Elephas maximus indicus: one gene and its partners. The protein of the gene in region 1 binds, or shares a complex with, the protein of each later gene. Links are inferred from orthologs where the notes say so. Each region holds a gene or a part of one and is shown in the gene's direction. Other genes may lie near its edges. The genes, in order: MYO6, GIPC2, CLTA and TOM1.

The links.
Region 2: the proteins of MYO6 (region 1) and GIPC2 are in contact, whole or in part, in a crystal structure (PDB 5V6H), measured with the Mus musculus proteins. The link is inferred for Elephas maximus indicus from reciprocal best matches to the Homo sapiens genes MYO6 and GIPC2. Residues at the interface, in NP_001034635.2 of Mus musculus: Ser1055, Lys1056, Trp1057, Lys1058, Tyr1059, Arg1084, Arg1085, Leu1086, Val1088, Tyr1089, Trp1092, Lys1093, Asn1096; in NP_058563.1 of Mus musculus: Glu255, Leu256, Tyr257, Met258, Gly259, Ile260, Asp262, Asp264, Leu265, Thr268, Thr289, Leu290, Asp292, Phe293, Ala294, Pro296.
Region 3: the proteins of MYO6 (region 1) and CLTA are in contact, whole or in part, in an NMR structure (PDB 6E5N), measured with the Homo sapiens proteins. The link is inferred for Elephas maximus indicus from reciprocal best matches to the Homo sapiens genes MYO6 and CLTA. Residues at the interface, in NP_001355794.1 of Homo sapiens: Met1053, Thr1054, Pro1055, Met1058, Ala1059, Met1062, Ser1087, Trp1089, Lys1090, Tyr1091, Glu1113, Arg1117, Leu1118, Val1120, Tyr1121, Trp1124, Asn1128; in NP_009027.1 of Homo sapiens: Glu47, Asn48, Glu50, Ala51, Phe52, Ile54, Leu55, Asp56, Gly57, Gly58, Ala59, Pro60, Gly61.
Region 4: the proteins of MYO6 (region 1) and TOM1 are in contact, whole or in part, in a crystal structure (PDB 6J56), measured with the Homo sapiens proteins. The link is inferred for Elephas maximus indicus from reciprocal best matches to the Homo sapiens genes MYO6 and TOM1. Residues at the interface, in NP_001355794.1 of Homo sapiens: Ile1182, Phe1184, Trp1202, Gln1214, Glu1216, His1218, Asp1220, Lys1221, Pro1222, Ile1224, Leu1226, Glu1234, Met1235, Cys1236, Leu1238, Glu1242, Thr1243, Gly1244, Leu1245, Arg1247; in NP_005479.1 of Homo sapiens: Ser440, Glu441, Phe443, Phe446, Leu447, Arg450, Ala451, Ala453, Ala454, Asp455, Leu457, Pro458, Asn459, Leu460, Ser461.

Annotation. Positions count from the first base shown.
Region 1 is NC_064819.1:139,186,681-139,194,942, forward strand, and holds the start of MYO6 (unconventional myosin-VI), read left to right. Parts: upstream 1-4,861; 5' UTR 4,862-5,099; intron 5,100-8,262. UniProt on the Homo sapiens protein: Myosins are actin-based motor molecules with ATPase activity. Unconventional myosins serve in intracellular movements. Myosin 6 is a reverse-direction motor protein that moves towards the minus-end of actin filaments.
Region 2 is NC_064821.1:126,020,900-126,028,270, forward strand, and holds the start of GIPC2 (PDZ domain-containing protein GIPC2), read left to right. Parts: upstream 1-3,913; 5' UTR 3,914-4,428; coding exon 4,429-4,665; intron 4,666-7,371.
Region 3 is NC_064827.1:45,041,350-45,048,727, forward strand, and holds the start of CLTA (clathrin light chain A), read left to right. Parts: upstream 1-4,039; 5' UTR 4,040-4,170; coding exon 4,171-4,387; intron 4,388-7,378. UniProt on the Homo sapiens protein: Clathrin is the major protein of the polyhedral coat of coated pits and vesicles.
Region 4 is NC_064822.1:178,742,658-178,750,895, forward strand, and holds the start of TOM1 (target of Myb1 membrane trafficking protein), read left to right. Parts: upstream 1-5,055; 5' UTR 5,056-5,179; coding exon 5,180-5,231; intron 5,232-8,238.

The DNA of each region.
Region 1 (8,262 bases):
AACGATGTTTACCTGTGTTTTATCGACAATGAAAAGGCATTTAACTGTGTGGATCATAACAAATTATGGATAACATTGCAAAGAGTGGGGATTCCTGAACACTTAATTGTGCTTATGGGAAACCTATACATATATCAAGAGGCAGTCATTCAAACAGAGCAAGGGAATAACGTCTGGTTTAAAGTCAGTAAAGGTGTGTGTCAGGGTTGTATCCCTTCACCATACTTATTCTATCTGTATGCCGAGCAAATAGTCTGAGAAGCTGGAATATATGAAGAAGAACCCAGCATCAGGATTGGAGGAAAACTAATTAACAACTTTTTTTAATATGCAGATAACACAACCTTGCTTGCTGAAGGTGAAGAGAACTTGAAGCACTTACTGAAGAAAATCACAGACTACAGCCTTCAGTATGAATTACACTTCAACATAAAACAAAAATCCTCACAAGTGGACCAATAAGCAATATCATGATTAACAGAGAAAATACTGAAGCTGTCAAGGATTTCATTTTACTTGGATTCACAATCAACACCCATGCAAGCTGCAGTCAAACCAAAAGACTCACTGTATTGGGTAAATCTGCTACAAAGGACCTCTTTAACGTGTTGACAAGCAAAGATATCACCTTGAAGACTAAGGTGTGCCTAACTCAAGCCATGGTATTTTCAATCGCCTCATATGCATGTGAAAGCTGGACAGCGAATAAGGAAGACCAAGGATGAGTTGACACCTTTGAATTGTGGTATTGGTGAAGAATATTGAATATACCATGGACTGCCAAAAGAATGAACAAATCTGTCTTGGAAGAAGTACAACCAGAATGCACCTTAGAAGCAAGGATGATAAGACGACGTCTCACATACTTTGGACATGTTATCAGGAGGGATCAGTCCCTGGAGAAGGATATCATGCTTCATAAAGTAGAAGGTCAGTGAAAAAGAGGAAGACCCTCAACGAGATAGATTGTCACAGTGGCTGCAACAATGGGCTCAAGCGTAACGGTGAGTGTGAGGTGGAGCAGGACTGGGCCATATTTCCTTCTGTTGTATATAGGATTGCTATGAGTTGGAACCAACTCAACGGCACCTAACAGCAACACTCACAATTATAAAACTCCTTAATAAGTGGTACAATATAGAAATGAAGTGGTGCACTGGAAAATAAGGTAAAGAAAAAAGAATTCTGTGAAAGAGTCAGAACAGAGAAAATAATAGTTGAATGGAGTTTTTAAGACTGAGGGGAATGAATTCCTTAGATTAGGCGGGAGGGGGAAAAAAGTCTATGTAGGAGGAATAGTCAGGAAAGGGCATGGGATATTTGAATTCCTATGGCTTTTTTTTTTTTTTTTTTATGGCTTTAGGTTCAGTACTGTGAAGGGTTCTATCATTCCATATGAATGAGTTTAAATTTATCTGAAAGGTACCATGATTTGGTAAAGGAGTGACATAACTGGATTTGGGGAGGGCGGTACAGAGAATGAATTTGAGTGAGCAGAGACAAAGGCAAAAAACTGGTGAAGGCCCGTACTAAGGGAAGATGGAGAATAAGGCCTCAACTTGGAAATAATTTATGATGTAGTAGAATGAACTAGAATTCATGACTACGAAATTAGAAGTAAAGAAGAGGAAGGAGTGTTGGGTAACTTAAAAACCACAACTTCTGGACACTGGTGACTGGTAATGCCATAATCATAATAGGCTCTGTCTGCAAGGGAATTGCTTGAAGGAGTTGGCAAGGGAAAGATAATGATTTTCTGTCATGTACCTGTGGGTTATTTAGTCTGCTTTATTTTAGGAGTTGGTGACACAGATGCAGTTGGACCTGTTAAAGTGGATGATTATCAGTTAAGCAAAGAGTAAAGACAATTTAAACACCCATGTCACGGTTTCCTATAAAAATGAAGGAACAAAACCACAAAATTTCACATATAGTGTCAGGGGTTCATGGAGCCCTTCAAAGTTTATGATACTGGATTGATGAGTCTCAGCTTAGAAATCTCTGGGGCAGAATCTGGGGAAGAGCCCTACAAATATTTAATGGGCAAGAGCAAAGATGAGACAATTACAAATATAAATAGAAAATAAATTATGATATGAATTTTGGCAACAAATAAGACACAGTGCAAAAAGCATATGCATAAATACAGGTATATATGGAATTTCCTAGAATTGTCAACTCTCTTGCCATTTGTTCATCCATCAGTCTCATTCACTCAATAGTAATAATAATAATGGTAGACACTGTTTAATGATTGCCTATCATGTGAAAAGGTCCCCGGATGGTGCAAATGGTTTGCTTTCTATAATTAACCTAAAGGTTGGTAGGTTGAACCCACCCAGTGGGACCGTGGAAGCCTGGCTAGCTGCTTCTGTAAAGATTACAGCCAAGAAAACCCAATGGAGCAGTTCTACTCTGTAACACATGGGGTCCCCATAAGTTAAAATTGACTCCACAGCAACAGGGTTTTTTTTTTTTTTTTGGTTGACCATGTCAAAGTCAGTGTGTTTGTGAAGTTCACTATCCTGCCTTCAAGTAGCTTTCAGTCCAGGTGGGGGTGACTTATATGCCAACTGAAGCTGCAATACTGAAATAAATGTTGAGAGAGACATGTGCAATGGGTGTTAAAAGAGCAATAGGAAGGAACAGAGACTTGTACCTAGGTTTTGGTATAAAGGGATTTAGGGAAAGCTTTTTAGAGGGGACAAATAAATTCTGCTCTGAAGGATTAATTCCATTTAGCCTAGCACTGCTACAATGTGATAAATAGCATTGCTGTCTGTTTTTGGACAGACAAGCACTTTACAATGGCTGGAGTGTAAAGTACAAGAAATGGAGGAAGGCAGTGTGGGCAGAAATGAGATTACACAGTTAAGTAAAGATATGACAGTGGCGCAAAATGCAAACGATTCCAAAGACAGGCAGGAAACATTGTATGAAGGCTGCTGTAGAACAGCTTCACCAGGCGTGCGATGAACCAGGGGGCTGCATGACCAACGAAAAGGCATTCAAATTCAATTAAAATAAAAAGAAAGAAAGAAATCCCTACTGTGTTGGCCAAATAAAATAGTTTGTGACTGGTGAACTAAATCAAGAAGGATCTTATGTAACTTTAAGGGGTATGGACTTTATACTATGGGTTGTGAAGCACCATTGTAGGACAAAGTAGGACTACCCCATAGAAATTCCAAGGAGCAGCTGGTAAATTTGAACTGCTTGCTTTTTGGTCAGCAGCTGAGCTCTTAACCATTGTGCCACCAGGTCTCCAAAGCACCATCATAGGAGCTTAAATAGAGAAGCACATAATAAGATTTGTATTTTATAAAAGATAAATCTGGTGGCATTGTGGAGACTGAATTAGAAGGGAATGAGGCTATAGTCTGGGAAGCTGGTTAGGTGGCTAAGGCAGTACACAAGACCTGAGACGATCCTGGCCTGAAACAAGATAATGATGGTGGCTATAAAGAGGAATTGGATGTTGTGTTGAAGATATAGAGGAGCCCTGATGGTGAAGTGGTTAACAGCTCGGGTGCTCTTAACTCTTAACCAAAAGGTCGACAGTTCAAATCCACTTAGCCACTCCTTGGAAACCCTGTGGGGCAGTTATGAGTCAGAATTGGCTGACCACAGCAGTTTTTTTTTTTTTTTGAGATATAGGTAGAGCTAGAAGCAAAGGGACTCCATAATGGTTTAGAAGTGGAGGACAAGAGAGAGCAAGTCACAGAAGTTGTTACTCATGAAAAACTGTAATGTGTCTGCTTCTATTGGTTTCCCAAGGTTTTTTAATCTTAAGTCCAAAATGAGGTCAAAGAAGTGAAAGAAGCACAGCATGCTACCTTCTTCCTCCTCACCTACTCCTCATTATTTTTTCAATTCATTTATAAGTCTTGAGTTTTTATATCAAGATTTACTTTCTGGCAATCTGGAATTAAATTTCTAAGATTGCTGCAAATTATTTCCTTTCTTGGTTTCACTTCCTCTTTCCTACTTCCCTATTTAATTCTTAAAATTTTATTGTTTTAATTGTAGTTTCTCCATTGAGAAAACTGTAGAACATCCGAATATCTGAAACTTCTCTCCTCTTCTGAATCTTCTAGATTTTCTTCAATTTCAAAGTTGCTAATTGGAAATGATGGGGGGAAAATCTGTACTTTTTTTTTTCATTTGAGACATTCAGCATTATAGTCAATTACCATTTTATTCTCGTAAAAGCAGCTTCCACTCGTCGTACAGACGGTTTACGTTTTCATTACAGAATTCAAATTTGCATAGCTACTTCATATTTAATTTTAAAATATAATCCACAGATATGTCCCTTATAAAAACAGTAAAAGATGATAGGGGCTCTAATAAATAACAGCAGGAGGGGAATGTTAGGGGAAGTCAAAAATTTCCATCTCAGGCTCCCTTCCCCCAAAGCAGAATAGCAAGTTTGTTGCTACTGAAGGCTACTGCCTTCGTAGGGCAACCCAGCTCAGCGAAGCCGCACGCATCCACAGCCCTGGGGTCCTCCCTTCTTTTCCGCACAACTTTTTCCCGCTTTGCGCTAATTCTTGCTGTTGCCAGACTATATAGTCACGCCATCGAGCCTGGAAAGAACTTGCTTTCCTGGGGCTGGAAACTAGAACCATTGCGAAGGAAGCCGTTTCCCAGGGGAGGAACAGGGACTTTCAGCTCGGCCAGGGGCAGTCCGACCCCGCGGCGCCCCCACCGTGACCCTCGAAGCTCCGCGTCGCCGCCAGGAGAGGCGGACCGAGGGGCGGGGCGACCCCCAGCGCCGAGCGCCCCTCCCGGAGCGCGGCCCCGTTTGCCCGCCCCGGCCCGCCGCGCCCCCGCCCCCTCGGGCGCTCCGTAGCCGTGACGTGCGCGGCGGCGGGGCCGGGAACTCCGCGGGGCGCCGGCCGGCGGGCGGAGACGGACCCGGGACCTGTCCGAGCAGGAAGCGAGCAGGATCCCGGCCCTGGCCGCCGCCACCTGGTCCCTGTGCTAGTACGCGTCTTCGTCCTCCTCCCTCGTCCTCATCACTCGCACCCGCGTCCTCTAGCCTCACCGGCGACAGGTAACCCCGTCGCCGCGCGCTTGCCTCTGCGCCCGCACAGGTGAGTGTCCCCGAGTCCCCGCTGCGGGCTGCACCGCTTGGGCCTCGTTTTTCCTGTTCTGGCCCTGCTTCGGGGCCTTCTCCAGCCGTCCCGGGGCGGACGGCTTGTTTCCCAAGGACGCGCGGGTGGGCGACACAGGTGATGGTGGGACCCGGCGGCGAGCGTGCCCAAGCGGCGACGGCTCGCGTTAGTGTCGTAGGTGGTTCTCTTTTCCACAGATAGACAATGAGACTCTCCTTTTATAGGTTTATCATCACCGAGGTACTTTTGTGTTTCTTCCCTGTTCCCAGGTAGAGATAGAACACTCAGGTGTCCGGTTCTGACTTGGACGCTCCATAATAGTTTTATTTTCTCTTTTGTAAACAAGCTTAAAATTCACTGCAGAAGCGTGCATTTTGTTCTGGGATGCGAGGATCAACTGTTATCATTACTAGTTTAATCATTTGGAGAATCGTTTGGGACTCTCGAAAGCAGTATTTTCAATCGCACATTGTCCAGTACCTTAAGTATGTTAATTCATGTGTGTATTTATTAATTTCCAAAACTCCTTAAAATGATTAAAATGTTCTAAGTCTGGAATTTTAATTTTAAGTAGAGAATAACTTGTTAGTGTTATTACTAGAACATCCGTGTCAGAAATACGTTTATACAGTTTCGGGAAACACCCTACGTTTTATCTGGCATAAAATATGTGGTGGAGGAATGCTTAAAATCGAATCTGCAGATCTTAGTTGGGAGCTAGGACCACAGCACGAACTTAATAGATTATTACACATTCTGAGTACAAGTTTGGTCTCTGTTGTGCTCTGGTGGTGTAGCTGCAGTATCGCTAAATATAGTCAGTGCTTGAGAGTTTTAAAAATTAACATTCTTAAGGTTTAGCAGAAACCATCCTTACACCATAAAATGTGGATCTTGAACTTGGGTTGGTAGTTGTCAGGGTACAAAGGTTGGCAGCAAAATAGCATTTCTGTACAAATTAACTGAACTAATAGACGTCTGGGGTTATGATTTTCCAACCGGAAATTGTTTAGTGGAATTACCTTGTTGTTTTTTAATCATTAGTTTTAAAAGTACCACAAATGATACGAAGTGAGCTGTAATCAGAGCTTGAAACAATACAGCCCTTCAAAGTAGCTCATTGACTTTTAAATATCCAGCTTATTTTGAGTATGTTCGGTTGCACAGGAATCACATGCAGAGTGGTAAACAGAAGTCATTTTAGTATTATGCAAATTCGTTGTTACATTTGTATGATCTGTTTGACATGCTATTTGTTTTCCCCACTTTTTTAGTTATATTTTTATTTTCAAACACTGATTTTAAAAGGCAGTGGCAGAAGTGACAAAAGACTTAAAAAAATAGGTCATGATTAAAAACTATGAACATGATATGTAATGTAAAAGTGTGTAGAATGTACATGTACTGTATATTCTTCGTTAGTCCTGGAAACATGAGTAAGAAAAATGTACTGAGCTATTGGCAATATTTAAAGTAAATTAATGCAAGGTATTAAAAAGAGTTCATATACGATCTTTCCACAGTAGTTACATCATAACCCAAGAGGCTTATCTGAAATGGATTTTTTCCCTGTTTATGTTTGTGTGATCAAGTTTTAAAATAACAGTGGGCAGGAAATCTGAGAGAGGCTGGAGGCTCTTTTCTCATCCTGTTGTGACTTTGTCTGGAGTCTGTGGTGTATCATGTAGCCCATTGTTTAGACAACTGGGCTGTATCTGGGCTCTAAAATACAGCTTTCTTTAGAAAGTTTTAAAGGTTTTGGCCATGGGATATTTGAATAAATATTAGTACCCCAAACATTAAAAAAAAAAAAGTTTAAGTGACTGTTGATAATTGAGGCTCCATCTTTGTTGTGTAAAATGTCAGTTTTAAAAAGGTATTTCTAAACTCTGTAAAATTTTAATTTCTATATATTAAAAAAACCTTATTTTAAAAGATTGCAAAAAGAATTACGACTTTGATAAATCTCAGTCTAATTCGGATGCCCATCATGAGACACTTCATAATAATTTGTGAACCAGTCCATTAGTATTGTAAGAATGTTACCCTATTAGGCATCTGCTGCAATTAAAACACTAACAGGAGCACTTGACCTTCAAAATAATTTTCAAGGTTAGTGGTCTTGCGCTTCTTTCAGGTAGTAGGAAACTTGGGGCCAGAGAGTTAAATACTTGCTCAAGGTTGTATATACCTTGAGGGGCAAAGTCTGGATTCCTACCTGAGTCTTCTGACCCGGAAACTTTTGTTCCCTCTACCAGGCCAGTTTGCCCTGATTTCAGCTCACTTGGTAGATGGTTAGATACACCTGCACAACTGGTATTGTATTGAAGAATGTAACTAGAGGTTTGAAGAAGGCACCCAGAGCAGATGTGATAGGTCATGAGTGTAGTTCTGGAACTAATATAGAATTCCAGGTCTGTTTTTTCATTCTCAAATTGACATCCTTGAACAGTGATATCATGTTGCCTTATTTTTGATATAGTCCCAGAATGTGATACATATTGTGGCGCTTTTATTTTAATGGTCTTTATGGGAACTAGAATTAGACTGTAACCTAATACTGGTTTTCATCTTAGCTAAAATGAGTAGTATGATGTTCATGGTTAGGATAAAACTTTTAAAAAATTTTCCTCAAATGAGATAGATTTTTGTCCCTAAATGCAGTAGCTGTCTTTTAAATATTATATAATTAATTAGGTAATCCCAGGGAAAAAGCTTGTTTTTAGATTATGATTAAAGTGTCACCTGTGCTTTTAGGACAGATCCTCTTTTATGGCTCTTTTTATTTTAGGAATGGCCCTTGAACTGTAATAAACATAAATGACAAAAATGAACACATAAATTTGATCTCTCGTAACAAACTAGAAATCATATTTTAATAATAGAATGGATTGGGAAAATGAACAGAAAAGGGTAGAAAGGGTAAGTTGGGTGGCTAGATTTTTACAGGGTAGTTTCATTATTTGGTTTGAAGCTTTAGGAATTTTGTACCTCAGAGCACCTGTATTCAATTGTAAATATAAAACCATCATCCAGAGGCTTAACATAAATTATTAATAGATGATCCGTGACATATCTGCTTTTGTTTTTTTGGTATAGGTAATCAAGACCTAATTAGGGTGAAGTAATTTTCTGAATTCTA
Region 2 (7,371 bases), on another chromosome or scaffold:
TCCATCCTTTAACTTCCAACAGAACTTATTTTGCTAGTTACCTACCCATAAACCTGTTGCTGTCCAGTCTATGCCAACTCATAGTGACCTTTTTTCCCCCCTCTTTTCCTTCTCCTTAAATGCTTAGCTCCATCTAGAATTATCTGTGGCTTTACTGCAGTATTTTCAATTTTTTTTATCTGTCTCTAAACAATTTGTCTCATCTGTACTGTCATTAATTCTTGCTACTTTCACTTTTGCAACATTCACTCCTTCCTGCATCCTGGCCCCTGTTTTACTAGTAAAAACTGATCTCTGAAAGCTCTTCCCTACATCAGAATAGCCAAGTCATATTCTTCTTCTATTGCATCCCTTTACAGAATTATAAGAAAAGTTGCCATTTCCCTTTAGTGAAAAGTCTCTTGGTGGAGATAAGTCTCTTGACCCCAGATCACTGACTTGTTTCATAAGCCTTATCTTCCCCTTGGCATGGTACTGTTGTTAGTGCTACCACCACACTGGCCTTTGGGATTTGCTCCTCTTTTAGTGCTCTGGAGAAAGCCTGAATCCTTCCCTAAATTGTCAAAAGGTCTCTTTTAAAGGTGGAGGGATATCTGAAGCCAGTATTTGAACATTATCGAAGGGATGACAGCACGACATTGGTCTGGCAGATGGGATGATGGCTTGTAGGGTGCCAGAGGAGAGGCAAAGTGCCAGTAGGTGAAAAGGATGTATGCTAAGGCAGTAACAGTGGGGATGGAGGGCAGGAGATTCAAGAGATGGTCCTGAAATAGAAACAGCAGTCATGAACTCCCTCTAAAGGAAAAAATAATCCTTCCAGGCTAAACGAATAATTTGTTTTATAAGGATCAGCACAAAGCTGGTTTCTATGAGGCAGAGGTCAAAGATATCCCAAACGTCTAACTCTTCCAAGCTGCTGTACAGCTCCTTTATCACTAACATCATCTAGTCCCTTTCCCCTCAGTACTCTTCCTCCCATCTCTGGGTTCCCTGATTTGCTGCAACGCCTCGCAGAACTCACAAACTGTATGAAGGAAATGGCTCATGTGGTTGTGAAGGCTGCAAGTCCTAAATTCGTGGGCCAGGTGTAGGCTTCTCCTAAACCATGTGGCTGCAGGGGCTGACAAACCCAAACCAGCAGTTCAGACTACAGGCTGCTGGCTCACAAGGCTGCGGAAGATGGTGAATCAGGTCACATGATAGCACCACTCCCCTGTACCCCCAGCCCAAGTGGCTGTGTGGGCCGGTGAACCTCAAAATCAAATCGGCAGGTGGGACAGCAGGCCTCTGGAGATATCAACTGATCATGAATCAGACAAAGGATCCAGATGCAGAGAGAACCTGGCCAGGACACACATATGTATCTTAGATGCAGGCCACACTCCAGGGAACTGAGTAACTTTCATAAGGGTGGGGCTTTAGTCACACCCTCCTGCAAGGCTGCAACCCAAGACACACCCTATACCAGTTCTGCCTCATCAACATGCAGAGGTCAGAATCCACAACACATAAAATGGAGGACAACAACACAATACTGGGAATCATGGCCAAACCAAGTTGACACATAACCCCAACCATCACAGGTCCCATATGCCTTATTTGCATAGTCCCACTTAATCACTGTGTGTGAGTCACAAAGACCTGGTGGCTAAAAGGGCCATATTAAGCAATTAACTCATTACAACACACAGGCTCTTAGGGTTTACAAATTATTTTCCTCGAAAGGTTTATTAAATATGTACAAACAAATCTAGGTACAAAAGGTCTTCTACAATCATAAAACAAACAAAAAAATTCAATAAAACTAAAGTGAATACAATTCAAATGAACATTATTTTAATACAGCAGATGATGTTTCCATCACCACCAGCTGCTGACACTAGTTGCTGTCAAGTCCATTCTGATTCATGGCAACCTCATGTGTGTCAGAGTAGAACTGCAGGGTTTTCAACAGATGATTTTCTGGAAGTAGATTGCCAGGTCTTTCTTCTAAGGTGCCTCTGGGTGGACTGGAACTTCCAACCTTTTGGTTAGTAGCTGAGGGTGTTAACTGTTTGTACCACCCAGGGACTCCAAATGACGTTTAGCTGAATCTAAATTGCCTCTTGTACGTGAAACTGGTACTGACAGATAATCATGACTCAGCTTCTTTTGCATTTGACTCTATCTAGGGTGCTAGGCAGTCTGTACACTGCCAAAGGTGCCTATCTCAGGGGATAAGTGGGAGTTAAGTCTGGCTCGAGAAACTTACCAAGCCATGCAGCCTAGCAAGATGCTGCACCTACCCAGATTGGTACACCTGTTTTTACATCATTTACTTTGAGCGGGTGCTTTTTCCTAATTTGCATAAAGGTGCCCTATATGCTAGTGGTAGCCCTGCCATGATGCTATGATTTATTCTTTTACTTCTCTTCAAACTTCTTTGAGTTCTTTATTCATACAATTCATTGTGAAGTTATCTGGCCTTCATTAACCCAAGACAATAAAAGTATTTGGTGCCATAGCAATGATAAACACAATAGCAATTTCTAGTCCTGAGATCCTGAGGCAGTATTCCATCATCAGGTAGTCACCCAGATGTTCCAGAATGTTTATATATATGTATGTATTTATATTTTTTAAGTCATAGAAATATAAAACACAACGTTTAAAGAGTTATCCTAAGAATTCAGACTTCTCTCCTAAGTATAGCTGCTAACCTTAATTTGATAAAGATTTTTCAGGACTGAACTGATGTGAGAGGTGAAGGAAAAGGAAGCACGGTATGATGATTCACAGGTGTGTGGTCTGGGCCATTGAGTGCATGGTAGTCCTATTTACTGAAAGCAGGAGTTCTCCCCCCTGCCCCCCCCGCCCCAAAATGTTTAGGGGCAATGATGAGCTCTGCTTTGTACATTGCCTTTCTAGTGGACTGAACCGGAGATATAAATTTGGTAGTCAACATTTGTTGAATCCGAGACAGTAAATGTGATCATTCAAGGACAGCAGACAGAAAAAGGAGGAGGCAAGGAAAAATAGCCTTGGGGAACACAATTTCTGGAGAACCAGTTGGCAAGGTGGGTGGGGTGGGAGGAAAGGAAGCCAAAAGAGACAAAGTTTAAGAAGAACGAAATGGTCCACAGAGATAGATGTTGTTAAATGCCAAGTAAAATACGGACTGAAAAAATTATTTATTTGGTGATTAAAAAGTGCTGACCATAATCAGAGCAACTTCTGATCACAGTGAGTCTAAGAGTAAAGGGAAGCTAGGAACTACAGCAATTGGAGACTGTTTTGCTTTGTTGAGGAAATGTAGCTAGAGGGAACCACCTCGAGTCAAAGATGTTTGAATTTGTGGACCCCCAGTGGCATCATGTGGAAAAGAGGAAGAGTCAACAAGTAGTTTAAAAATAGAGATCCCTGAAGAGGGGCGAAGGAGATCATACCAAAGGCCAAAAGAAAAGAGATTTCTTGGGAGTTTGGGGAAAGGAGCTGGAAGGAGTTACAGACACCAAAAACAAACCAAACTCACTGCCGCGGACTCGATTCCGACTCATAGTGACCCCATAGGGTTTCCAAGGCTATAAATCTCTGTGGACGCGGACTGCCACATCGTTCTTCCCCGGATCCTCTGGTGGTTTTGAATCACAGAACTTAGCAGTCTATCGCTTTAACCACTGTTCCACCAGGGCTCCTTGGAGTTACGGACAAGGAGTTGGGTATTAAGGGACTCACAATTCACACATAATGGCCTCCATCTTTTCCATAGAGTCAGGGTTCTCCGGAGACAGAGAAGGGCGGAGGTGGGGCAAAGGGCTCTGGGAGACTGCGGAACGGTTTAGGAGAAAAAGCTGCGAGGGGGCGGGGAGAAGGATTACTGAGAGGTGTTGAAGGCCTAGCTGAGGGTGCTCACCATAAAGTTAATGTGGCAGCAATCTCAAGATTATGTGACTTTTCCCTCCAATTCTGCCCTACAGGGTGTAAGGCGCAGAGACAGCAGATGAAGGCTGACTTCTACTTAAATCCCTATCCCCATTGGCCTAGACGTACTGTACAGACAGGAAGGTCTCCGGCCGAAACATGCGTGCCTCATGAATTTATGAAAAGCACCAGAAGTGCTTGTTTGTTTTCTGAGACGTGTGTTTTGTAGCTTCAGCATCCCGAGGCCCTTACGGAAATGGAAACATTTTTTAAAGAAAGAAGCTGGGAGGTGCGGAACTGTGCCCACCTTTCCTTCTTTTCCGAGGGAGGGCGGACGGCTGCTCTGGGTCCTCCGGGTGGAGGAAGGAGCCCCGAACGGGCGCTGCCAGGCGGAAGCGCCTCTGCCATTGGCCGGGCGGCGGCCTTTACCTGCGCGGAGGCCCCAGGCCAGGAGCGCAAAGTCCGTAGCGCCGGGCGGAGGAGAAGGCGGTCGCAGCACAGGTGATCCCGCTCCTTCAATCCGGCAAGATGCCCCTGGGGCTGCTGAGAAAGAAGAAAGCCAAAGCCAAGGAGACTGCCCAGCTGGTGGAGAGCGAGCAGCCGGGGGCGGGCGGCGGGAGTCTCCCGGACCAGGTTCCCGTACGCAGGCTGGTTTTCCACACGCAGCTGGCGCACGGCAGCGCCACAGGCAGAGTTGAGGGTTTCTCCAGCATCCAGGAGCTCTATGCCAAGATCGCGGGCGCCTTTGAGATTTCGCCGTCGGAGGTAAGGGGCCGGGTGTGCAGCCTCCGCTCCCTCTCCCTGCCTGTCGGACACGCCGCGTCGGCTTCGGTTGTGGCCTGGGGAGTTTGGGCGGTGCCTCCCGGAGCCCGAAATCGGATGCGGGTGGAGTCGGTCGAGAACTTCCCAGGGGGCAGTGGGAAGAGAGGGCGAGTCACACCCTCATGCTCGGAGATCCGGCCTCTGGGAAACCAGGGGCGACCTTTCTTCCTCTTGCGTCTGAGTTTGCTCTCTGAGGCCGGGATTCAGCCGGGCAGGTTGTGAGCAATCAACGCCCTCCCCAATCTGGACTTTACTCTCCTGTTTCTTCCGCAGGAGTAAGGGGGTTGCGCTTGGCATCGCCCCAGAGTAAGAGGGAAAAATCAAAGTGCCTTCCAGATGATATCAAACCGAGGCCCACTTTGCTCCTCATCTACCATTTCCGGTATCGACACCAGAAACCCTTTGGTGGTTATTTCCAAGAAGTTTATTATTCCAAGGGTGGATAGTTGATATACTTAACTACCTGAGACTAATTAACAAAATTCTCATGGGGGAAATCAGCTCTAAATTTTACATCATACCCTTGAAAAGGGACAGAAATTTTCTTTAATTAGATTGAACGCATGCGTTAGTGCTTGGCAATGGGCGTGATCTCGAAAGCACGTTTATGCTTCCTCAGTGTGGACGTTTATGTGACCACTTTACGTGTACCCAAGTGAACTGCAAATTTATGTGTGAGAAGTTAGCCCAAGAAAATGTTTTGTCTTTTATTTCTAGGAAAAGCACAAGATTGTATTGCCCTGGCCTGCCAGGCATGCAGTAACCCTCCTTTCAGTGAGTGGCACATAGCAGCATTTAGATTTCTGTTCTTTAATGTTGTTTATCAGGTTTGTTCAAGTGAAATTGAGGTCAAGGCAAAATTCCAAGAAGAGATGAAAGAGAGCTAGAAGTGTAATAGTTGTTCTTTCAGGGTTCTCAGGCACTAAAGGGCAAAGCACAAACCCATTTTACGAATTACTTATATTGATATATAGTAGTAAGTAAAAATAATACATTACGTTTGTTACAGTGGAGTTGATTCCGACTCATAGCGACCCTATACAGGACCTTGCAATCTCAAAAAACTTTCACTGAAAAAATTTCCTTTTGATCTTCTCTAGGGTAGGTAGGTGGGCAGGTCGTCATTAGGGAACTAGCCGCAGGGCTTGGTGACTAATAAACTTGAGAATCTAGGCTTTACCACTTAGTACCTGTCTTAGTCATCTAGCCCTGCTATAACAGAAATACCACAAGTGGATGGCTTTAACGAAGAGAAGTTTATTCTCTCACAGTCCAGTAGGCTAAAAGTCCCAACTCAGGGCTTCAGCTCCAGGGGAAGGCTTTCTCTGTCCACTCTGGAGGAAGGTCCTTGTCTTCAGTCTTTCCTTGGTCTGGGAGCATCTCAGCACAGGAACTTCAGGTCCAAAGGACGTTCTCTGCTCCCGGCACTGCTTTCTTGGTAGTATGAGGTCCCCACATCTCTCTGCTCGCTTTTCTCTTTTATATTTCAAAAGACATTGGTTTAAGACACCACCTACTCTTGTAGACTTCATCCATATAACTGCTGCTATTACATCATACTGATAGGATTTACAACATATAGGAAAATCACATAAAATGGTGGACAGTACACAATACTAAGAATCATGGCCTAGCTAAGTTGACAGATATTTTGGGGGGATGCAATTCAATCCATGACACTACCTGTTTTGCTTCAGACAAGCTTCTTAACTTCTCTCAGTCTAATATCCCTGTTTTACAGAGAGAAAACTGAGGCTTTCAGGTTCAGAGCATCCGCCCCCCCCGAATTACCTGTAGTAAGTGGCAGAGCCTGGATTCAAACCTGGGTTTTTTTTTTTTTCTGACTCCAAAATCTATGAATCTGTATTGTTTCCCAAGTTTTCCAGAGTCTCTGAGCAATAGCTCGGAAGCTGTGTTCAATATTTTCAGCTTTCAGTGCACTGACTTGCAAGATAAAATTCCAAGATAATAAACAATGTATTTTGATGTGCTATATCAAAGCTCATAAGTAATTTTTATTGTATATAATATGTGTATGTTTATGTATAAAACCAATATTAACGCAAGTTTTCCATGTGGATTAAAAAGAGTTAATAAGTATATCCAGGATAAAGTTTTGGTCATCATAGTACAGTATGTCATAAGTAACTAAGTAGTTAATTCTGAAACAGCAATAATTTACTAAAATAAAATACACATCAGTGAGGTCTCATTTCCCATCTTATTCCCCCAGCAAAGTGCATAGTGGTGTAAATAATTTTTGAGATATCAGTGGGGTCAAAACAAAGTTTTTTCCCCTCTCATTAGTAGGATTGAATACACAGTTAACTCATAAATGGATCTGCCTTTTCTCTAGAGAGATGGCTATAAGCATTCAAATTCCTTATACAAATCTGGAAAAACTTCAAAATTCTTTTTGCTTAGACAATGGTGTTTTCAATTAAAGCCTCAGACTCAAACACAGAAATGTTTATTGCTTCAAAAAGGTGCTCTTGAGATACTGACAATCGTGGATTACAACTATTCCATGGTCCCTGAAGGAGGAAGCTAATGAAGCTTATGAATCACTTAAGATTTAAATGATAGCAAGGCAGGGTGCAGTCTACTATGATTACCTTGAAACAGATGGCCAATTATGCAAAAATCCCT
Region 3 (7,378 bases), on another chromosome or scaffold:
TCTGAACAGGTCAAATTCACAGGGGTTAGAACTTCAATCTATCTTTCTGGGGCACACAATTAATTTATAAAGGTCGTTATCTACTGAGCTTCCCCTTGGACAATTCTAAACCTCTTCCCTTTCTTCCACTGGTTCTCACTTTCCTAAAGCAATTGAGTCCCTCAGGGGTGTCTGTCCTCACTCTTGCCTCTAAAATTCTCTCTCCCCAGTCTATTGTTTCCACCACCTCTTCCTTATTATATAACTTCAACTTCTCCCTATCCTCACCTACAAATGTACTCAACTGTCTCCTACCTTAACAAACGTCCCCGTGGTGTTATAGCCCTAAATATAGCTCTTCCTTCTTTCCTTGCTGCCAACATTTCTAATAAAGTCTTCTATATTTACATTTACCCTCATCTCTTATTCTATATCAGACAGAATTCTTTTATTTACAAGTTATCAAAACACAACTGTCTTAAAGGAGAAAAAAAAGTTTATTTGTTCACAGAACTTGAAAGTCCAAAAGTAGGTATCTCACTTCAAGAATGTCTGAATCCAGGTGCTCAATGATGCAAGCAGGAAGCCGTCTGTCTTCATCTCTGCTTTCCTCTACGTTGGCTTCACTCAGTCTGGCTCTCTTCTCTTGATGGAGAGACGATCACCAGAAGATCCAAGTTTACATTTTACCAGCTCATCAGTCATAACAAAAGAGCCCTGCTTTCCCAAAGACTTTAGAACAGTCCTGGAATTGAGTCTCATGGACTTGGCTTGACTCACTTATCCATTCCTGAACAAGTCATTTGGCCAGGAGATGGAATGTTCTAATTTGCCAGGCCTGGGCCACATGGTCCAGGTCAACTCCATCCAATGGATAAGTGGTTCCCCAAAGGAAAATCAGGGTGCTGATTTCAGAAAAAAAGGAAAACTGGATGGTAGAAGGGCAAAATCAACAGCTGTCCACTACACTTTTCACTCCTCAATCCAGTGCAACATGATTTCTGCTTCCAGAACCCTCTGATGTCTTTCTCACCAAGGTCACCAGTCATCTTGATGGCCAACAGCATCTGCTCAGCCCTTGCTCTTCTTCACCTTTCTGCCAATTGCTTCTTTCTCCTGCAAACTCTTTTTCCTTGACTTCTATGACCCAGGTCTATACTGACTTCCCTTCAATTTCTCTAATCTACCCCTCTGTCCTTCACAAACAGCCGTCCTCTAAGATTCAGTCTTCAGTCCTCTCCAGTCTCCATTTGTAGTCTCACTGCTCTCCTGAGCACACCTCTTGCTACTTCCTGGTCATCTCCCTTTATATCTTCTTCTGTCTCCTATCATTCACTTGAGCTTCTGAGAGCCCTCAAACCAGTGGCCCTAGCAATATCACATACTCATGGCCTCAGTGATCTTTTCCCCCTGCTTCTCACCCTGCCCCTTCCTCCAGTCATACACCAAGTCGGCTGCTTCTCTGTAGGGACTCATTCTCCCATTAATGCTCCCCATTCAGTTACATACCACTGCCCCATCCAGACCTTCATCATGTCACTGCAGGACTTCTCTGCTCATTGATCCTGCACAAAGGGATCAGATTAACCTTCTAAGCAGCACATTCACCATGTCATTCATCTCTGAAATCTTCTGCAGTTCCCTACTGTGAATAAGGCTCCTAAGCCTGGACTGCATTCAGAGCCCCAGTAGGTGGCTTCAGGTTTACCTTAAATCATTCCTCTTCTTGAGTCCTTCAGGCCCAGCTACACCAGTTTATTCACTGTGATCTAAACATGCCCTTTTCTCACCACTGAACGTTTGCACAATAGTAATCTCGTTTGTTGTTGGCTGTTGTTGAGTTGGCCCCTAACTCCTGGAGACCCCATACATAACAGAACAAAATGCTGCCCAGGCCTGTGCCATCCCCATGATGGGTTGTAGATCAGATCATTGTGATCCAGAGGGTTTTCACTGCTTTCGGAAGTAGATCACCAAGCCTTTCTTGCTAGAACAACTTAGTCTGGAAGCTCCACTGAAACCTGTTCAGCATACAGCAACACCAAAGCCTCCACTGACAGATAGGTGGTGGCTGCCCATGAGGTACATGGCTAGGAATCAAACACAGGTCTCCATCAGGAAAAGCAAGGATCCTACCACTGAACCACCACTGCCCCCTACAGTAATCTTGTTGTTAGCTGCCACTTAGTCAATTCCAACTCATGGCAACCCCACCTGTGTAGAATAAAACTGCTCCATAGGGTTTTTAAAGCTGTGGCCTTTCAGAAGCAGAATGCGAGCCCTGCCTTCTGAGGCACACCTGGGTGGTTTTAAACCTCCAACCTTCTGACTACTAGTCAAGCACTTAACTGTTTGCACCCCCCAGGGATTCCACAGTAATTTTAGACCCTCACTATTAACTCTTCTTTCTAATCTTACCTATATTTCAAAACTAAGCTGCAAGCTACCTCTTCTGTGACGTCATTCCTGAACGTACCAGCTGATTTCCCCAATTTTGAGTAAATAAATATTTGTTGATTTGACATGAGGAGATCTGATACCTCCTCTAGTAATGGAATCTCAGGATAGCTTCCCCAGTCATGCACTTGGTGTAGAAAGAATGTGTCTCAGTCCCTCAGCTACCATTACAGTGAGCAACCAAAGGCTGTCTCCCTTGGACCTACTCACGGTAGTCCCTGGCCCCATCCTCCTCACAGGGTAGTTTCAAAAAAAAAAAAAATTTTTTTTTTTTTTATGAAAGTAGATACTACATACATTGTTGTTAATTTATGCGAGAAGAAGAAGAAGATTGAGTCTGTTGCAGGCCCTAACATTTTAAGTTTCTTAAATGTTCTTCTTCAAAATCTCCTATGTTACATACTTAGAGTGATTTAAAAAGAAAATACACACTTTAAGCAAAATAATTATCCTTTGTCATCAAATATACATTTTTTTTTTTTTAAGCCACCTTCTTGTCCCTTGCTGACTACTTCTGGAGATATCTGTGACCTTTGGTTGTGTTTTTAGTTTGTTTCTGGTTCTGTTCTTACAGTGGTGGTGATGATGGAAATAGGGCCTTCCATTATACATTGCATAATATCCCTCATTATCATGAACATGATTAACTGGAATCACTCTATTATAATTTCTATGATGCAGACAACATTAACTAGCCATGTTTAACAAGTTTCTGATTTAAAAGAAATACTGAAGAAACTTTTTTTTTTTTTTAAGGGAAGTTTCTGCTGTTCTTAGTTGGGAAAGGTGTGCACATATAAGGGGTGTGGCTGGTACCATCACAGAAGTGCTGTGGTCCCCAGGAGACCTGGGTCTCCTCTTGGCCACTGATTTCCCGTGACTGAATCCCTCACACACCGGGATCTCAGTTTCCTATGAACGAGGTGATCCCTAGTGGAATTTCTAGTTCTAAAAACTTCCTTATAGCTCTGAAAAGACGTACTGTCCGCAAAAGTGCTTTTAAAAGGCGATACATTCGTCTTTTTATAAAAATGTTTATAGGGAGAAAAGTTGGAACGGATTTGAATCTATTACATTTATGTCAATCGACTCTAAAAGAGAAAAAAATCCAGACTGGATGAATGGGTTAACAAGTTTTTTAAATAATACATATAGCCAGTCCATATCCACAAACGGAGTCTTCCCTATAGGGAAGGAGGGAGGCAAGTGCATGGATTCTTGCCCTTTTACAAATGAGGAAACCGAGGCTCAGTATAACTGGCTTGCCTCTTCTGTAACCCGCCAATCACCACAGCCGCAACTTTACCTCACCTCCTGGTTCAGGACAAGAATTCCCTTCAGAGGTGGCGATCCCTGATCATTCCGGCTCCCGAGGGCGGGGCAGATACCGTGGCTTTAGTCCAGCGCCTCTCCCGCCTCCCCTCGGACCGCGGAGCTCACCTCCCTCTTGGGAGAAGCCCGAGTCACGAGTTTTCTTCCGAGGCCCGCCTCTCCTCCTGCTGATTGGGTAGTTCTTGAACGATTTCTACCTTCTCATTGGTTTCTCTCTTTTCGGCTCTCCACGCGCCCTAGACCAGCCGGATATAGAGGCAGGGTTTCCGCTTCCGCCTTCTCCCTCCTTCCGCTTGTGCTCCGAGCGTACTCGCCAGCAAAGCGACCGCTTCCTGGGGAGGTGTCGGTGGGTCGGTTGGTGTGTCTTCCAACGTCAGTGTCCGTGCCGTTGAACTGTCCGCCATGGCTGAGATGGATCCGTTTGGCGCCCCCGCCGGCGCCCCAGGCGGCCCCGCGCTGGGGAATGGTGTGGCCGGCACCGGCGAAGAAGACCCGGCCGCGGCCTTCTTGGCGCAGCAAGAGAGTGAGATTGCGGGCATCGAGAACGACGAGGCCTTCGCCATCCTGGACGGCGGCGCCCTCGGGCCCCAGCCGCACGGCGAGCCGCCGGGGGGTCCGGGTGAGATTGCGGGCGTGCTGGGGCGGTGGGACTCGTTTGGAAATTCAGGACATAGGGGATCCGAGAGCTTCTGTGTAACTCCTGTTCCTTGCTGAACCAGGAGGTTAGGGAGGAGTGGAAAGAGGAAACGAGACCCCGGCCCAGTCATACGGAAACCTAGGCTGGGGAAGCCTACCCGGCTCTTTGACTGCTGTCGGGCGCGGGCGGAGCGAGAAACCAAAGAAGATAGAATGGGTGGTACTTAAGATGGGAAGCCCGTTCAGTTGAGCAAGTTTTTGTTAAGCACTTGCTATGTCTTGAACCTGGCCTCTGAAACAGTCGCTTTAGCGCATTTTGGCCAGGATTACAGGCAAGTCTACTCCAGCAGGGAACCAGTTACGGGGGGGCAGAAAAAGTAAGAGTAGTAATTTGTTTTTGAGATATTTAAACAAACAAACAAAAACTATGAAATTCAGCATGTAAGCGCTTAAGGTGTACAGCACGTAGGCTATGGGAAGGAAGGAGGAGTGAATGGGGAGCTCAAGAAGGAAGTCTAGCCCTGGAGAAGGAAACTTGAACCAAAGACGTCCAGGAGTTTAGCATTTGTTGAGCTATGTTAGGAGGACTTCTGGAGCTCTTCTTCCTCTGGGAACACCTTTGGTAGCCGGGTGTGGCGAAACCTAAGATTAGCCTGGTTCAGTTAGGGAGGGAAGAAGAGGTGAACAGAGAATGCAGTTTGGCTTTTTTTTCCAGCCAAACTAAAGCAAAAAAAGGAGGGGGGTGCAGGGATGGTGATAGGATGCTGATTTGATCTTTGAATGCTTTGCTTGTGTGTGATGCTTAGAATTGTACAGGTGGGAGGAAAGGTGAGTGGAAGAGACCTATTCAGTGGTGTAGGGAGTTCAGCCAGAAGAAACGAGACATGACTTGTCATTTACTTAAAAAACTTTCAGTTAAAGGGGAATAAGACATTTGTGGGGCAAATAAGGGTATCTGTACCTAAACTCAAACTGTTAAGGGACCTGGCAGGTAACATAAATGAGATAAGCAGGCTGAATGTGAAACATTAAGGAAGTTTGGAGACTCAGACTTCAGTGCAGTAGAGAGTAGGGCTCTGCTTAAAAACATTCAGGCTCAAAAATCTCAAATTATTATGCCAGCCAAGCAGAACATCTGAGGGAGAATGGGGGACTGCTAGTTTGCAGCTTCCAAGTTCTCTATACTATACTGTGCTGCCTCCTAAGCAAATCATTCCCCCAAGAAGAGCCTTGGGAATCAAAAGTGGTACCATAAAGAATGGGGGTCAAGGGATATTTTCCCAAAAGCAAGCCTTTAGTATTCTCTAGAATTGGCCAGACCATGATCATGACCATGAATATATAATTTATATAGACAGGTTGGACTGAACCGGACTGTGACTGAGAGATGAAGTCGGCTTTAAGTAGTTAAGTAGTATTTGCATGGGATGGTCTTTAACATTTGCCTGAGAATCATAAAATTTACTTTTTTGATCCTTGATTTATTTCTCATCATTTAATAAAAGAGAAAACTGAGTCCTTGAGAGAAGTGACTGAAGAAAAAAGGCAGGTTAATAGCTGAGCCCCAAGTCATTCCACCCTGACTGTACACACATTCTTCTACAGTTGTTTTAGCAGGCGTGTGGTGGGATGAGAGATTGTCATTTCTTTTTTTTAATAATTTTTATTGTGTTTTAAGTGAATGTTTACAAATCAAAGATTGTCATTTCTGAAAGGCAGTTGTGGCTGCTCTGGGTAGGACAGAGTCAAGAGAAGCAGGGCCCCATGAACTAGGGGTCATTACTGCATACCTAGTTAGGAGGTTGTCCTGACTCAAGGACAGTGTTGCCTACTGTTGTATCCTTAATACCTAGCGGGTATCTGGTACATAGTTGGTGCTTACTGTTTGTCAAAGGAGTGGGTAAAAAGTGTCAGGTCCAACAGTCTTGTATAGGACTGGCAGATCTTAGTGTGATGGTAAAGAGAGAATAGAGTTAAACACTTAGGTCCCTCCTGCATCAAGCCTTCAGCAAAGGGAAGGAAGGAATGATTGCTGACTTAGTTTCTAGGAAGGACTTTCTTAGTGAACTAAGCATTTAGTGACTGAAAGCCAGATTCCTGACAGTGTGGTTGAGGTTGGTAATAGTGCAGTGGTCAGCACTTCCTTTGGGGATTAGATAACTAGTTGGACACACTCTCTTTTTTAAAGAGGCACTCTAGTATAGTGGTTAAGATTGTGGGCTGTTGTGTAGGCTGCTTGAATGTTTAGCTTTGTGGTGTCAGGCAAGTTACATAACTGCTAACGCCACTCTGCCACAATTTTCTCTGTAAAAGGTGCATAGCATATGCCACGTAGGGTTGTTATGATTACATGAGAGAGTACCTGTAAAGTGCTTACATGGAGTACCTGGTATATACTCCAGTGAATTCCAGCTACTCTTATTCCTTGGAGGTGGGGCAGAAAGGGATTTTGAGGCCTATAGGTTTTGGGATGTAATGAGGAAATTGAGAGATTTTAGGTGGGAGCTCTGTTTCTGATGTGTTGTACAGGATACCCAGACTGTAGCAGTGATTGAGGAGAGAGGAGGATATCCACACTAACCCCAGCCTTGGGGAAAACTCCTCCCATGGTTTTAAACCAAAACCCCAACCCGTTGCTGTCTAGCTAATTCCAACTCATAACAGCCCTATAATACAGAGTAGAACTGCCCCATAGAGTTCCAAGGAGCGCCTGGTGGATTTGTACTGCCAACCTTTTGGTTAGCAGCTGTAGCACTTAACCACTACACGACCAGTGTTTCCCCCATGAGGATGGAGGCAGGTAAAACCAGAGCAGTTAGACCTGAGCCTTGGATGCCTCCCTCACTTGTTACGAGACCCAGAGAAGGGAAATAAGTTTAGAGGTGAGAGGTAAACAGCTGAATAAAGGGGTTTCAGGGATTTTGAGGAAGACCAAGTGGTCAAGAACAAAGCAACACAAGTGTAGAACTATTGA
Region 4 (8,238 bases), on another chromosome or scaffold:
GATTCTCACGAAGGTTTATTTATGTGCGTGTGTGAATGTATTTTAATTATGTGTATTTAACTCTAAAATCTCTTAGATTTTAATTTATCCTGTAAATTTCTGTATATATAATTTAATAACAAAAGTTTCCACCAGCAGCAGCGTGTGGAAGATACAGATCTGTCATTTGTTCCTTCCTTTCTTCCTTTGGTCTGCTCTGAAAACTCCAAATCATCTCCATTTTAAGGCATTCTGCCTCAAAAAGGAATCATTATGTCGGAATTCTAATTCTTTATAAAGACCTTCATGGCCTTCAATAATGTCGAGAAAGTGAAATAAAAAAAGAATGTTACCATCCCCAGCCACCCTTATTTCCAAAGAACCAGACTTTTGCTTCCCAGATGGAGAGAAGATACTTGAGCACTTCAGAGTTCTTTTTAAATTTGGTGTGAGATTATCTGCCAAAACCCAGCTCTGAGGTAATTGTGTTTTCTTCCCTTAGCCTAGATGGAGCACTGTGGCATCAAAACAAGTCCTTGGGGACAGTGCAGCTAGTCTGCATCCTATTTAATTCCTTCCCCTTCCCCCGCGCCGTGTTGTCACGAGGCTGTTTTTAAAGGTATTCTGGTTGCTGAATGCCTTTCTCAGCTCAGAGCAGTTTTGAGATTTAACCTGGGAAGCAAAGGAGGAATCAGGAACATTTGGGAACCAAAATCAAGAAGAGCAGAAACCTTGGCTTGATTTCTTGGGCTAGTCCCTCATCCCACACCTCATCTGCACCCATGGAAGCTTCCTGTTTGACAGAGGGTATTCAAGGAGAGGCCTTGAAGACATGGGTTAGTACAGAAAGAAATCAATCCTACCATTGCCATTTGTATACTTTCTGGAAATCCTGATGAGGACCTGCTTTTTGTTTGTTTGTTTTCTTTTGAAACCCAACCCTATTGTATTTGTATTTAAAATTTGTACACATTTGTATAATAATCTGTACCTTGTGGTATTTGGTACTATTAGAGAAAAAACTTTGGATTCAGACCTCCTTGCAGTTTTTATATCATTGTTTTATTTTTGTTTTTTAAATACCAGTGGTTTGATCCAAAGCCCATTACAGTTGTATAAAAAAATTAAATTTTGTACTTACATTATTAAAAATCACATTTTTAATATTTGTAGTCCAGTCTCAGCTATCTTTTCCCTGCTGCTATCTAAAGTTACCTACAAACTCATAAGACCTCCATTTTTCATGTGATATACTACCATAATTTTCTTTAAAAAGGACATCAGCCCAGACAAGAGGTCAAGTTTCTAATCTGACTCATATTCCTAACATACACCTTGCTCCCTTTGTAATTTTTGAGTTATGGAGCTTCTTGTTTTCTCTTCCTGCAAATTGCAGATCCAGTGAATCTGAGAGCTATAGCTCTATTCATTGGCAAATGAAACTATGTCTGTTACAGTGTTAACCTATATCAAGAAAATATCAGTCTGTGTAAGAGTTGACTGCGTCCGAATCGTGTGTTAAATATGATGTATTTCATGCCGTTTCAGCACCATCTTGACTTAGTGATGTTGAATAAATCACTTAATCTTTATAAACTTCCAAATTCCTTCCATAAAAGAGTTTAATGTCACCTCCCTGTCTCCAAGCCTGCAGCCAGCCAGCGTGACATGAATGTTGAGTAACACTATGAACATAAAGCATATGGAGATTTGAGCTTTCAAGATAAAATTTTCCATGCAAACACAAGGTGTTAAAAGACATAGTGAAATCATATGATTGATTAAAAGGCTGTCTTATGGAGAGGCAGCAAGAAGGAGACCACCATGTAGCTGAATGACTTATAGAGAGAGTGATCTGCATACTTTATCCCATTTAATCCTTCTGAAAGCCCTACAAGGTGCATTATCCCCCTTTACAGATGGGGAAACACATGCAGAAAGTACTTTTCCTAAGTGCACGCAGCCAGTAGACATCATAGCCAAAATCGGAACATTGGTACTAGCTGACCCCAAAGCCTAGGCTCCTACCCTAAGCTGACACTTTCAAATTTAAGTTGTGTATGTAATTCATTAGGATCCTTCTCAATTATCTATAGTCCTAAGCAAACTTGGTTAGAAAAGTGCTTAAAGAATATAATAGATCACAATACATCTATGTAGTATGTCAGTCTTAAGGGATATAACCATTCTTACCCTCAGGAAGGTATATGATATTAATATTGCTAATATACCTAAAAGGAAAAATTAAATTGAGGCACTTTTTATTAAATGAGTTTTAGTTTTAATCAGTTTTGTACTACACCTCATGTTTGCCATTCACGTTCCTATCTATGGTACTGTGTTGACAAAATCCACATACTTCCATTTCTGTTTTAACAGCTGTCTTAGGCTGGGGTTCCCTAGAGAAGCGAAACCAGTGAAGTGTGTATATACATAAAGAGAGAAAAAAAATTTTATTTCAAGGAAATGGCTCACGTAATTGTAGAAGCCGGCTAAGTCCCAAGTCCATGTATGGGTCAGGCATCAGGCTAGAGGCTTCTCCTGACTCTCATAGCTGCAGAGGCTGAAGAACCCAAGATAGGCAGGTGTGGTGGTTAAGGTTGTGTGTAAACTTGGCTGGGCCATGATTCTCGGTGGTTTGGCAGTTACATAATGACGTACTTATCTTCCATTTTGTGGTATAATGTAATCACCTCCATGATGTGATCTGATGTGATCAGCCAATCAGTTGTAAATTAGTTTCCTCAACCGTGTGGCCTGCATACATTATATATTGGCATTCTGGCAAAGCTCACTGGCTTTAGTTCACTCTGGATCCTGCATCTGGCTCCTCATCTGACCTCCAGTTCTTGGGACTTGAGCCAGCAGCCTGCCTTATTGCCTGTAGGGCTTGGGATTTGTCGGCCTCTTGAGTTCATCAGCCCCTGCAGTTACATGAATCAGGAGAAGCCTTCAGTCTGATGCCTGTCACATGGACTTGGGACTTGCTACCCTCTACAACCACATGAGCCATTTCCTTGGGATAAGTCTCTCTCATTCTACATCCATCCATATTCCATCCGTAGTTTCACATCACCTCCCTCTCTCCAAGCCTGTGTGCGTGTGTGTGTGTGTGTGTGTGTGTGTGTGTGTATGTATACACTTCACTGGTTTGGAAACCCTGGTGGCATAGTGGTTAAGAGCCACAGCTGCTAACCAAAAGGTCTGCATTTAAAATCTACCAGGCACTCCTTGGAAACTCTATGGGGCAGTTCTGCCCTGTCCCATTGGGTCGCTATGAGTCAGAATCAACTCAACGGCAATGGGTTTGGTTTGGGTTTGGTTCACTAGTTTTGTTTCTCTGGAGAACCCAGCCTAAGACATCAGGCAGGCTGCTGGCTCAAGTCCCAAGAACCAGAGGTCAGGTGATTACAAGCCAGATACAGGATCCAGAGCAGGCAAGCAAGCTTTGCCAGAACATCCATATATATACTGGATGCAGGCTACACCCCTGAGGAAACTCCCCTTATAGCTAATTGGCTGGTCATATCAGATCACATCATGGAGGATGACTATGTCAATACATAATTGCCAAATTACATTATTACATAACTGCCAAACCACTGAGAATCATGGCCCAGCCAAGTTGACACACAACCTTAACCATCACAATTCCCCATTGCCATTAAGTCGATTCCAACTCATAGCAACCCTATAGGACAGAGTAGAACTGCCCCATAGGAATGGCTGGTGGATTCAAACTGCTGACCTTTTGGTTAGCAGCCAAGCTCTTAATCACTGCACTACCAGGGCTCCACCATCACAATATCTGTATAATATTGCGTTTGTATGGAGTTAATGGAATTCCACTGCCTGCTTTGGGACATGGGGGTTGTTTCTGATTTTAAATTTTGGAACCAAAGTATCTTGATTTTTGTCTAAAAGTGTTTGAATATAAAAGATAATATTTATGTACTATGTCAGTTTTAAGGGACATGTTTACCTCAGAAAGGTATTTAATATTAACATGGCTGTTTTATTCTTGGCAGTAAAGCCTAGGTTCTTCTGCCCACGATCACTCTAAACTAGAGTGAAGCAAGACCTTCTGGCAGATGACCCAACATGGGGATGTGAAAGGTGGTTAATGGAAGAACCCCCAAAAATTTCATGCTAAATATTTTCCATACAACCACGTAATACTGCTTAAATGAAGAAAGGCATGTAAGGTACCAGGCCCGAAGACCATCTTACATGTACTCCCCTCCTTATACAATTGAGAGAGGCCTTTTAAGATTATTGACTAGGAGTCCAGTTTTGTACTTCAGGGACCCTGTTAACTCTCTGAAATTGTGTCTGTCTTTTCCTCAGAAAGGCTCATGCTCATGGCTTATTCAAACTCTCAAGGGAGCCTGTGACCCAAAAAAAAAGCTAAGAATCCTTGATCTAACTCCAGCATCCAGGGCACAAGATAGAACCTTGGTATTTGGATCGCACAGTGAATTAATGGCAGAGATAGGCCCCAGGCTCTGCTCTTGACTAGATGAGTGTGCTTTTGGCCACCCTGTGCTCTAGCCTGTCCCCAGCTGCAAGTCACTGAGTTGGCTCTCAGTCCCAGGGGGTCACAAACCCCTGGCCTTTGCCTCTCCTATTTGAGGTAAGTGAATATGGCCTGCAAGCAGGGTGCATCTTGGAGCACGGACACCTCTACATCAAATAGAGCCCTATCAGGGCAGAGAAAGCCAGAGAGGCTGTCAATCCCAGGGCTTAGTGTGGGGTCACGGGGCTAAGCGCTAGGACACTAGGACCTGTAGTCTGAGCCTGCTGTGCAACCTTAAGTCATTCCCCAGGCCTGAAACCCAGTTTTCCAAATGTGTCAAGTGAGATCGTTAGACCAAGGTCCCCAAAACCCTTTTTTAAAAAAGTTTGAGGGCATGGCTCAGAAAGGCCCACGCTTCCTGGGCCCCCAGCCCTCCGTGGTGTGTGACATCATGCGTGACGTCACGCTGACGCCGGATAAGTCGCAGTGCGGTCATCGCTCTCCGCCTCCACGCGCCTGACCCTCGCACGTCAGGGGCGGGGCCTGTGGCCGCGCTCCGGGTTCCCTCCGCGCCGCCCCACCGGCTCCTCCTCGCGAGCCGTTTGGCGCGTCACGTGACAGGTCGGCGGCGCCGGCGGTTGCTGTCAGCTGAGTCCTGTGTTGGTGGCAGCGGCAGTCGCGGCGATGGACTTTCTGCTGGGGAACCCGTTCAGCTCTCCGGTGGGACAGCGCATCGGTGAGTCCCCGGAGCCTCGCACAGTCCTGTCCCAGTGCTCCGCGCCCGGGCCCGCTCCCCACCCGGGGTGCCTCCAGGTCCCCAGTCACTGACGGGAGCGAAGGCTGGGTGGAGGAGGCTGGCGTGTCTCTCATCGGCCTGGTTCCGCCCAGTCCCCCGCCCCCTTGATTGACAAGGCCTTGGTCCATTAGGGAACCTCGACTTGTGATGGATGTTTATTGCAGCCAATCGGCAAGGAGAGAGGGCGGGCCCAGGCCCCCGCCGCTCAGCCAATGTGCGTCGGCTGGGGGGTCCCGAACCCAGGTAGAAAGTTTTCGGGGTTAAAGGGACTGCGTGGTTTTGCGACTGTTTCCCTCGTCGCTTCCCTAGAACGGGTGCTGCCCGGGCTCTTGGCGTCTCCTCCCTGGCTCGCCGGGCTCTCCGGACACGGAAGCCTGAGAAGGGCTAGAAGCCTATTCTCCCAAGACTGGAGAGAGGAGGGTTCAGGGCCTGGGCAGGTGACTTGCGGGGACAGGGGACCCTCCCGGGCCTCCAGCACTGTGAGACTCAGAGCTTGGCACACTTCTAGGCGCTGTGAAGCCCACACGACCAGGAGGACAGGCCTGAAAGACCAAGGTTTCAGGACCTGTTTGCCATGGCTGCCTTTCCTTATAGAGTGGCAGAATCTTTGAGCTGAAAGTGAGCTTAGAAACCACCTGACTCTGCCTCCCTCATTCCTAAGTAGGTGGGACAGCTGAGGAGCTCTGGCTGGAGACCCACAGCTTAAATAGAGCGCAGGTCGCCTGACTCCTGGCTGCTTGTCCTTGGTTCTTGGCACCCTGGTGACTGGAGACTTAGCAGTTCTGTGACTGAGTTCTGTGCCGAGGTTTCCTTACTGGGATGGGAGGGTGGCACAAACGGTTAACTCTCGGCTGCAAAGCAAAAGGCCGGAAAGTAGCTTCGTTAGTAATTGTTAAGTACTTAGAAGAGTGCCTGGCACATGGCCAGTGCTATATAAGAAAAAGCTGTTATGTTTATTATTGTTACCGAGATACAACCACCAAGTGAGGATCAGAAATCCCGGGAAATCTTGCAGCTCCGCCTTCCTGCACACAGGCACCGGGAGGACCCGCGGCCATGGCCCCAACAGCTGTCATAGTCTGGCTGTACCCCTTTGTTGCGTGAAGAACCTTGGGGCAGTACTGTGAAATGATCTCTTCATCTTTTTAATGACTTTCACTCTTAAATCCAGACTCGGATAATTAGATCTTTCAGAAAGACATTCTTCCCATCCTTACTTTTTTGGAACCCAAACCTCACTAAAGTCAGTTGACCCAGCTCTGTGGCTGTTGGTGGCTTTTCTGAGGTTTTGTAATCATTTCTCTTCAGGGGTGGGGGTGGGTGTGGGGGTGGGGTGGTAGTCAAGGATTACACACCAAGAAGCTCCTGGACCACGGAGGAGAAGCTGCCCTCTAGAGGAACACCACCGTCCTGGCAGCACACACACCCTACAGTGAGTCATTGTTTTGGAGCCCAAAAGAGAAAACAGCTCTCCTCTCATCTTAGTTTCTCCAGCTACAGACACCACTCCTTTTGTCACATGCCAAAATTGAGACTTCCTACTTGGAAAAAAAAACTGTCCCTCAAAATCAACCGCTTATCCCTGAGGCTTTCTCGAAAAGCTCACCTGGGCTCTAGGCTTTAGCTGGTCCATGAAAACTTAGCTTCTCTTTTTACCCTGTAGGGTTGCCTGCCTCAGGCAAGAAATACTTCTGTCCAAAGAGAATGCTACTAAATCATAATACTTTAGAGCACGAACCAGTTGTACTGCTGGAAGAGTCTTTATACTGGGGGATCTTCTAACCCAGTGGTTCTCTTCAGAATGCCTAGGAGGGCTTGTTAAAGCTGTTGACTGGGGCCCACCTCCAGGGTTTCTGACTCTGTCGATCTACAGTGGAGCCCCCGAATGCATTTCTAACATAGTCCCCAGGTGATGCTGATGCTGCTGGTGCAGAGACCTCACGTCGAAAACCTCTTGTCGTAATCATTTAATGCTGCTATAACAGAAATACCACAAGTAGATGTCTTTAACAAAGAGAAATTTATTTTCTCACAGTCTAGTAGGCAAGAAGTCCAAATCCAGGGTGTCTGCGCCAGGGAAAGGCTTTCTCTCTCTGTCGGCCCTGGAGGAAGGTCCTTGTCATCAGTCTTCCCTTGGACTAGGAGCTTCTCTGTGCAGGAACCCTGGGTCCAAAGGACACGTTCTCCTCCTGGTGCTGCTTTCCTGGTGGTATGAGGTCCCCACTCTCTGCTTGCTTCCCTTTTGTCTCTTAAAAAGATAGAAGTTGGTGCAGGCCACGCTCCAGGGAAACTCTCTTTGCATTGGACCAGAGATGTGACCTTAGTAAGGGTGTTACCATCCCACCCTAATGCTCTTTGGCATAACAAAATGGAGGACAAGCACACAGTACTGGGAATCATGGCCCAACCAAGTTGACACATATTTTAGGAGGACACAATTCAATCCATGACACCTCTGTTCTAGCCCAGTCCCTTCATTTTACACATGAGGAGACTGAGGTTCAGAGAGGAGAAGGTGGAGACTATGACCCCAGTGAATTAGTAGTAGAGCTGGGATGAACCCTAGAGCCATCGAAATTTGAACCAAAACTGAAGAGACTCTAAAATGAGAGTTAAATGAAGAATACGTGCAGTTTGAGTTAATGCCCTCGAGATTACATATTCTTCATTTAGATAAAGAGGCAGAAGGTGATTGGACCTGTGATGACTGATGTTGGACCTAATATTAGCTGCTTGTATTTCATAGTATTTTCAGTCACCTCGTATGTACTCGAAAGCTGTACGGTGAATAAGGAAGACCGAAGAAGAATTGATGCCTTTGAATTATGGTGTTGGCAAAGAATATTGAATATACCATTGACTGCCAGAAGAATGAACAGATCTGTCTTGGAAGAAGTACAGAGTACAGCCAGAATATTTCCTAGAAGCAAGGATGGTGAGACTGTCT